Linked DNA regions of Ovis aries. The main gene of each other region encodes a partner of the protein of the gene in region 2 in a complex. Links are inferred from orthologs where the notes say so. Each region holds a gene or a part of one and is shown on either strand. Other genes may lie near its edges.

Region 1 (4,067 bases), on a different chromosome or scaffold from region 2:
CCTGAAGCATAAAAGAGAAGACCAGGGAATCATAAGCTTCATCTTCAGTTATATAAGAGGCTAAGACTCTATCAACAAATATTTACTGAGGGCCTAACATGTGCTGGGGTTCCTAGTTGGTTCAGTGGTAAAGAATCTGTCTGCCAGTGAAGAAGACACAAGAGATGCTGGTTCGATCCTTGGGTTGGGAAGATCCCCTGGAGGAGGAAATGGCAACCCGCTCTGGTATTCTTGCCTGGAAAATTGTATGGGCAGAGGAGCCTGGTGGGCTACAATTTGTGTGTGTTAGTCACTTAGTCGTGTCCGACTCTTTTGTGACCCCATGGACTGTAACCCTCCAGGCTCCTCTGTCCACAATCATGCCCTCACTTTAGTAACTCACAGGCCACGATAATATGTAATATTTTTGTGGGTTCCAGAGGGTAGACCCCCAGTGCAAGGTGGGGGTCTGGGGAGGGGGTTGTCTAAGTGACATGCTGCTCAATGTAACAGACTTTTTTCTAAGCCCGAGCTGCCCTGAAATGCCCTGCTCAAAGGTGGTGAGTGCAGCGGGACTGCAGTGTTCAAGCCGGGCGCCAGCCAGCCGCCCACCTGTCAGAAACTGTGCCAGGAGTATGCGGGAGAAGAGAGTTCCGCCTCGGGTGAGGTCACTTCCCACCCCCAGATGCTCTGCCTACAAAATCTCGCAAGTCTCTGACGCTGTATTTTATTCTTTTCTGAATTTCAAGGTCTCATGATGTTGACAGCTCCAAATTCTAAGTCCTCAGTCTGCCCACACTCGCGGACCCAAAAGAAAGGAAGCCGGATTCAGCCTGGGTCCTACCACCCACTGTCTCTGGGGGTAGTCAGCGCCCCCTCCCCGCCTCGCGGGGGTTCTGAAGAGAGGTAACTCGCGCGCGGGGTGCCGAGGACGTCGTGGGGAGATGGGTGTTCCAGAGATGGAGTTGACAGGGCAGAGACATGTGACAGTCGAAGCGTCACGTTCCGTGGTCTGAGAGGTTGGGACCAGGCCGGTCACATGACGCGCGCGGGGGGGTTTGCACTATGGGGTGATGCGAATTGAGAGGGCCTCACAGATCACGTACCAATGACGCATTCCCACCCCTTTTGGCAACTAGATTTCCGCTGGAAGATGCGATAGTTCCGGCAAAGGGGGCGGGTTCTCACGTCCTGGCAATTTCGCTTCCGTTCGGGGCGCTGAAGCTTCCGACCTCGGCCTTTCCCTGGGGTGGGGAAGGGACGCGATCCGGTGCGCATGCTCCAGTCTTTCCAGAGGGGGCGGGGCTGAGGCTACAGGAGAGGGCGGGGGGAAAGAAAAGGGAATTCCAACCTGTGGAATCTTGGGGGTCCCCGAGGTCGGCTCCTTCCCTTTGAAACTGTGAATGGTGCCAGGGACAGAGCCTCTAGCGACTCTTGGGGGAGGGTTTGGGGCCTGCAGGGTGAGGGCGGAGGGGAGTGTCAGAGTGTGAGTTGGGTACGGGAGTTCCAAACTTAGAATCTTGAGGCCCGCCGGGCTCCGGCGCCGGCGAGAGGGATCTCGGGCCGCCATGCGGGACAGGACCCACGAGCTGAGGCAGGTGAGAATTTGGCGCAGCAGGGTTGGGGACGGGTGGACGGGATGGGGTCTACTGGAATGCAGGACTCCTGGTCCTCGGGGCCGGGAGGGATGACTGTGGGCTAGGAAGGAAAGTCCCGGAAGCCCGTGAGTTCTACTGGGGGAGAGCAGTAGCAAGGAAGTGATGCCAGTGACCCCGGCCCTGGCAGGGGGATGACAGCTCGGACGATGAAGACAAGGAGCGAGTCGCGCTGGTGGTACACCCGGGTACTGCACGGCTGGGGAGCCCGGACGATGAGTTCTTCCAGAAGGTAAGAGGCTGGAGTCTCGGCCTGGATTCACGAGGGGCCTGGAGGGCCCGAGGAGCAGAGCAGCCTGGAGCAGCGCCCACATCTCCCTCAGCCCTCTCGGTCATCGTCCCCAGGTTCGGACAATTCGGCAGACTATCGTCAAGCTAGAGAATAAAGTCCGAGAGTTGGAGAAGCAGCAGGTCACCATCCTGGCCACGCCCCTTCCCGAGGAGAGTGAGTGAAACCCCGGGTGCAGAACGCATGCTCAGCTGGAGGCTTGTGGGGGTTGTAGTTCCACACAGGTGGTGGCCAGGGAGATTTGTTGAGGTAGAGGTTGCTATTTGGGCATCATGGCTTTCTCTTGTTTAGGCATGAAGCAGGACCTGCAGAACCTGCGTGACGAGATCAAACAGCTAGGGAGGGACATCCGCGCGCAGCTGAAGGGTGAGCTCCTAGGACTTTAGCCAGATACTTTCCTCTGATCCTGCCCAACTCCTGGTATTTCTGGGCAGTGTGTGGTCCAGAGAGGCCAGTGATATATATCCAGGTCACACAGCAGGCCAACGTCTAGAATCTCCATCTCCTGGCTTTCGGTCCAAAGTTCTTTCCACAGCATATGCCTGCCTCTCAAGTTCCCTTATTTATAATGAAACCATGTCCATTTGATCTTTGTCCAAGGCAGAGGTTAGCGTTGCTACCTCCACCTTCAGGTCGTTATCTGCATATAACTGTATAGTCTGCCGTCCACATCCCAGGTTCTGCAAGGGTGGATTCATGCAGTCATGGATTGTGTAGTACTGTAGTATGCATTTATTTTCTAAAAATTCAGGTATAAGTGGACCCACAGTTGTGCAAGGATCATCTGTACTCCTACAATTCTTGCTGCCCAGTGTGTATTCTTTGGGTGGGAAGATGTGGGTTTTGTTAGGAAGCTTCTCCAAACATGTGGGAATTCTCTGATGTATTTATTGCAAAGAAAAATATACTTTTGCCTGTCAGAGGCTCAAGAGTAGTCATTTATGATGAATTTTATTTCAAAAAAAAAGCTCTGTGGAGATATTGTATCTCTCTCTATTGTATGGCTGCATGGCTGGGTCCCAGTCCCCAAATGAATTTCAGAAGCCAGAGGTCAAACCCCCTCCTCTACCAATACTTCTGTGTCTTTCCACAGCCATAGAGCCCCAGAAGGAGGAAGCTGATGAGAATTATAACTCCGTCAACACAAGAATGAGAAAAACCCAGGTGGGTTCATTATTCCCAGAAGTAGGACATTTCAGCAAGTGTTCAATAGATCATTAGATGGCAGATGTAAGAAGGCAGGGCTCTTAGAGATCATTAAATCCAACCTGATGATTTTCCAAATGAGGAAACTGAGGCTCAGAGATAAAAAAGGATTTACCCCAAGGTCAAGAACCCGGGTTTCCTGACTTCCAATCTGTTATAACACCTTGCCTTCTTCTCCTCCATTCAGTGAGAAGTTGCTGAGACCCCAGACATGATCTGGGCTTGGTTGTAGGAGATATACTTTCTAGAAGCCAAGATGGGGAGTTAAGCTTGCATAGATGACAAAGACATTACTCAGGTAGGACTTGGTAGTTAATGGCTCTGCCCAGGGAAAAAAAGGGTGCAGTCAAGTGACTGGGTGGTTTCCTACCCATGTGATGAGGACATCCTCTGCCCCAAGGACAGAATTCAAGTCAGGAAGAGGAACTTCCCTGGTGTGTGTGTATGGGGAAGGTCACTGAATCATCATCTTAATAAGGAGATTTGAAATGGTCTGAGCAGTGTCCTCTGGGTGCCCAGAGAGGCATGGTTTGGAGTTCTTGGAGGTCAGAGTTGGAGTAGGTGGGCCCAGAAATCAGCAAAGACCCCAGATTGAAGATTAAACAATTTGGGGATTTTTTTTTTAATGGAAGAGAAGGAAAGAGTAGTTTTATTACTTTGCCAAACAAAGGGGGGAACACAGTAGGCTAGTGCCTCAAGAACTGCCCCCCCACAATTTGGGCATCTTGAAAGGGTGCAACTGAACCCAGGACAGCAGATGTGTCCTGGAGAAAGGAACTCCAAGGAATGAGCAGATTTTAGGCATCAGGAAAATGGACAAGCAGGGAAGGCATTTACAGGGGGTGGGGGGCTTGTGGTAGTCATTGTGTGAGAGGCTGAGTGCCCAGGTGGGCCTGCAAAATCTGGGAAATGCAAAATCCTGGCACACCTTTAGTCTA
Region 2 (3,748 bases):
GTCCAGTGGCTAAGACTCTGCACTCCCAGTGCAGGGGGCCTGGGTTCAATCCCTCGTCAGGGAACTAGATCCCACACGCTGCAACTAAGAGATCTTGCGTGCCGAAACTAAGACCTGGTGCAGCCAAATAAATATTTTAAAACAAATAAAGAACAATAAATAAACAAGGCTGTGTGCATGTAAAAAAAAAAAAGTAGGTGCAAACATCATGACAGTTTTTTCAAACATCGTGTGTTATCCCCAGATACTTCAGCAAGCATCTGCCAAGAATAAGTATTTCTCCTGAACAGCCACAATATCATGAAGTGAAAGTGAAGTCACTCAGTCCTGTCCGACTCTTTGCGAGCCCGTGGACTGTAGCCCACCAGGTTCCTCTGTCCATGGGATTCTCCAGGCAAGAACACTAAAGTGGGTTGCCATTTCCTTCTCCAGGGGATCTTCCCAACTGAGAGATCGAACCTGGGTCTCCTGCATTGCAGGCAGATGCTTTACCCTCTGAGCCACCATCAAACCTAAGAAATTGAACACTTCTCCAACACAACCCAATAATCAATCCATACTCAGATTTCCCCAACTCTTCGAAAAAAATTTAGCCTTTTCCTTTCAATTTAAGATTTAGACAACATTCATACATTGAATTGTTGTGTCTCTTTAGTCTGCCTTTTTGAGTGTGTGTGATAATTTACTTTGTTTTTAAGAGACCAGTACCTCTTATACAAAGTCATAGACATGTTTTTGTCCGATGTTTGTCCCTCTGATTAAATTAAGTTCAGTAGTTTCAGCCATCCCTGTAGGCAGTCATATCAGTAGACACTTGATGAGGTTCTCTTTATTGGTGATACCCTGTTTGGTCTCTTGTTCAAGGTGGTGACACTCAGACTTAAGTCATCAGTGGAGTGACACTTTGAGTCCTCTGTGCACTGTTTGTCCCTATGATTAAGTTCAGTACTTTCGGCCGGCTGTGTAGGTGATCACATCAGGAAGCACTTGATGAGGTTACCTCTTTATCGGCCTGCTGGTGATCCTTGTCTGATTTGTTTGAGAGTGTGTGTGGCAAAATGGTCATTTTCTAATTTGCTCATTTCTTCTACGTTAATTAGCTTATATTCTTCCATAAAGAAGGAACTTCCTCTCTTTAAAATTACTATTGAGTGATAGTAACTTCTTCCCTTGCACTAGTTTTCATTCACAGACTCCCATTTAAAATCTTTTATATGCCAGATTGCATTCATCATTCTTCCATTTTTGTTAAGTGAAGCCATTATAATTGCCAATATGATTGAGCTTTATTGGGTATGAGATGACAAGTGCATCCACACTGAGAAATGTAATTATACCAAAAACTAGGGAACCTAATACTTTAGCCTCTCTGACATAAATAGGGAGTCATGTAGAATCCAGGCTTCTGCATTTGGACAGAGATTAGGTTGTCATTCTCCTGACCACCTTACCAGGAACTTGGGCTTGCAGCCAGTGGCCCAGCCTTTCCTCTCACTTTCTTCCTTGATTATCAGGCTCCACCAACTTTTCTGACCTCACAGCTCCTAAAGGTCCCTGCTTCCAGTGACTCCCTTTGCAAAGACCAGGGTTTATATTTGGTTTTTAGGATTGTATATGCAGATTAGCTGGGAAATGTTTGATTTTCCTCAGCAATGTCTCAAGTGATTGCCATTCTTCTGAGGGCTTCTCTATATCCTAAGAGACATGTTCTAATATAGGGCTTTTCTCATCCCTTGATGTTCTGTCCATATCATCAGGTTCTTCCTTTCTCACTTAGAATAAGGGTTTCCTGACCATGATTTTCTGTAACCTTTCCCCCCTTATTACAAATCAGTACTGTTTATTAGAGGCTTCCCAGGTGGCCCTAGTGGCCTGCCCATGCAGGAGACGCAAGAGACACAGGTTCAAGCCCTGGTTGGGGAGATCCCGTGGAGAGGGAAATGGCAACCAGCTCCAGTATTGCTACCTGGAAAATCCCCTGGACAGAGGAGACTGGCTGGCTTCAGTCCATGAGGTTGCAAAGAGTTGGACACAACTGACCACATATTGTTACTTAGACAAAAATTAGTAAATACCGATGAGCAAAAAGTTATGTAGACATTTTGGATTCTCTTAGTATGGGTTGGGCACTTTTATATAACTCGCTTAGGCCTGACAAGGAACCTAGGATTTATATTATCTCGTTTTTTCTTCCTTTGCAGTTGAGGGAAATGAGACTTGAGGTTAAATGAGTGGCTTAGGTTCATTAGCTAATAAGTTGCAGAGCCAAGAATTGTTATATTACCCTTCCAGAGCTTTTTCCTCTATGTGTTCATGCTGAATTACTTCAGTTGTGTCTGACTCTGTGGGACCCATGGACTATAGCCCGCCAGGCTCCTCTATCCAGGGGATTTTTTAGGCAAGAATATATACATACATAAAAAATAAAATTCAACAGCAGTCTTTTTAATCCAACATTCTTCTCTTTCCCCTCCTCCCGAACCTATCCTCAGGATCGACGAGAATGTGTTGGGAGCCCAGCTGGACGTGGAGGCCGCCCACTCAGAGATCCTCAAGTACTTCCAGTCGGTCACGTCCAACCGGTGGCTCATGGTCAAAATCTTCCTCATCCTCATTGTCTTCTTCATCATCTTCGTGGTCTTCCTTGCCTGAACCCTCTCCACTCTGAGGCACTCCATGGGGGTTTGGAACCCTTCTGGGAGGGCAGGTGGCCAGAGCTGCCACTGAGCCTGTGCAGGGTGCTTGGGAGAAGGGCCCTGTTTCCTTGGAACTGCTAAGAATGACCACTGCCCTCGGTCCCCCACTCCTTGCCTCTGGCCACCCAGCCCTCCCCTCACCACCCTCCAGCCCATGAAACACACACGGTTCTGGATTTGGACTCTGCTGTGAAGTGGCTGGAAAGGAGCAGAGGCCAACTGAGGGGCTCGTCCGGGAGATTGTCTCCACCAGGAGATTTTTATAAACCCTCCCCAGCCTGTCGCAAAGGGAACTTTGGCAGCAAGGGGAGATGATGCCTTTCCCCACCTTCCTGAGAGCAAGGAGAGGAAGTGAAACTGCCCCAGGGACCAACTTTCCCATCTGGGTTAGAATTTGACTTCTTCCTCTCCACGACATGAGGCAGGGGGCCCTGAGCCCCTCGGCGGCCTGCACAACCCCAACTTTGGCTGCAGGTGACTCTCAATCTGCCAAACGTGCTGCAGCCCGTTTTCTCCCAATTACAGCAAGACTGTCAGCCTCACTAGCCATGTCGTCATTTCTGGGTGGGAGCGCCGAAGAAGGGCCTAGGCAGAAATGGAGGGAGCCTGCTGCCCAGTATTACAACTGAAAGGGCTGGACTGATGACCCTGAGGGGCCAGGCTTTGGGCTCTGTATACACAGCTGCTTCCAGCAGGCCTAACCCAGTGCAGCAGTACTTAATTATCATGGAAAATTCCCTTCAAAGCAGGGTATACGATCCCAGAGTGGGTCTCTGATTAGTGGTAACTTCTAGGACCATCTCCAGAAGTATTTGGACCTGTTTCATCTGCATCTTCCAGTCCTACCGTTTTCCTTGGGCTGGATGAAGCAGGAGTTCTGCCTGCTGCCAGGAGTGAAAGGTGAAGAATTTGTTCCCAGCTCCAGCTGAGGCTCTTGGTCCCCTCTTGAAGCCCCTCACCAAATCCAAACCAGTCACAGGAGAATGAAGTAGAGATCTGCCTGGAATACCTACCCTACCCTGGAAGGTCAATATGCTTGTCAGTCCTGACCA

Evidence for each region. The genes of interacting proteins can lie anywhere in the genome.
Region 1: STX5 (region 2) and STX4 share a complex: the UniProt entries of both Homo sapiens proteins name them as parts of the SNARE complex. The link is inferred for Ovis aries from reciprocal best matches to the Homo sapiens genes STX5 and STX4.

What each region holds. Positions count from the first base shown.
Region 1 is NC_056077.1:27,673,406-27,677,472, forward strand, and holds the start of STX4 (syntaxin-4), read left to right. Parts: upstream 1-1,262; 5' UTR 1,263-1,547; coding exon 1,548-1,577; intron 1,578-1,764; coding exon 1,765-1,866; intron 1,867-1,979; coding exon 1,980-2,079; intron 2,080-2,214; coding exon 2,215-2,289; intron 2,290-2,791; exon of another isoform or gene 2,792-3,016; coding exon 3,017-3,087; exon of another isoform or gene 3,088-4,067. UniProt on the Homo sapiens protein: Plasma membrane t-SNARE that mediates docking of transport vesicles. Necessary for the translocation of SLC2A4 from intracellular vesicles to the plasma membrane.
Region 2 is NC_056074.1:37,649,236-37,652,983, reverse strand, and holds the end of STX5 (syntaxin-5), read left to right. Parts: intron 1-2,492; coding exon 2,493-2,652; 3' UTR 2,653-3,238; downstream 3,239-3,748. UniProt on the Homo sapiens protein: Mediates endoplasmic reticulum to Golgi transport.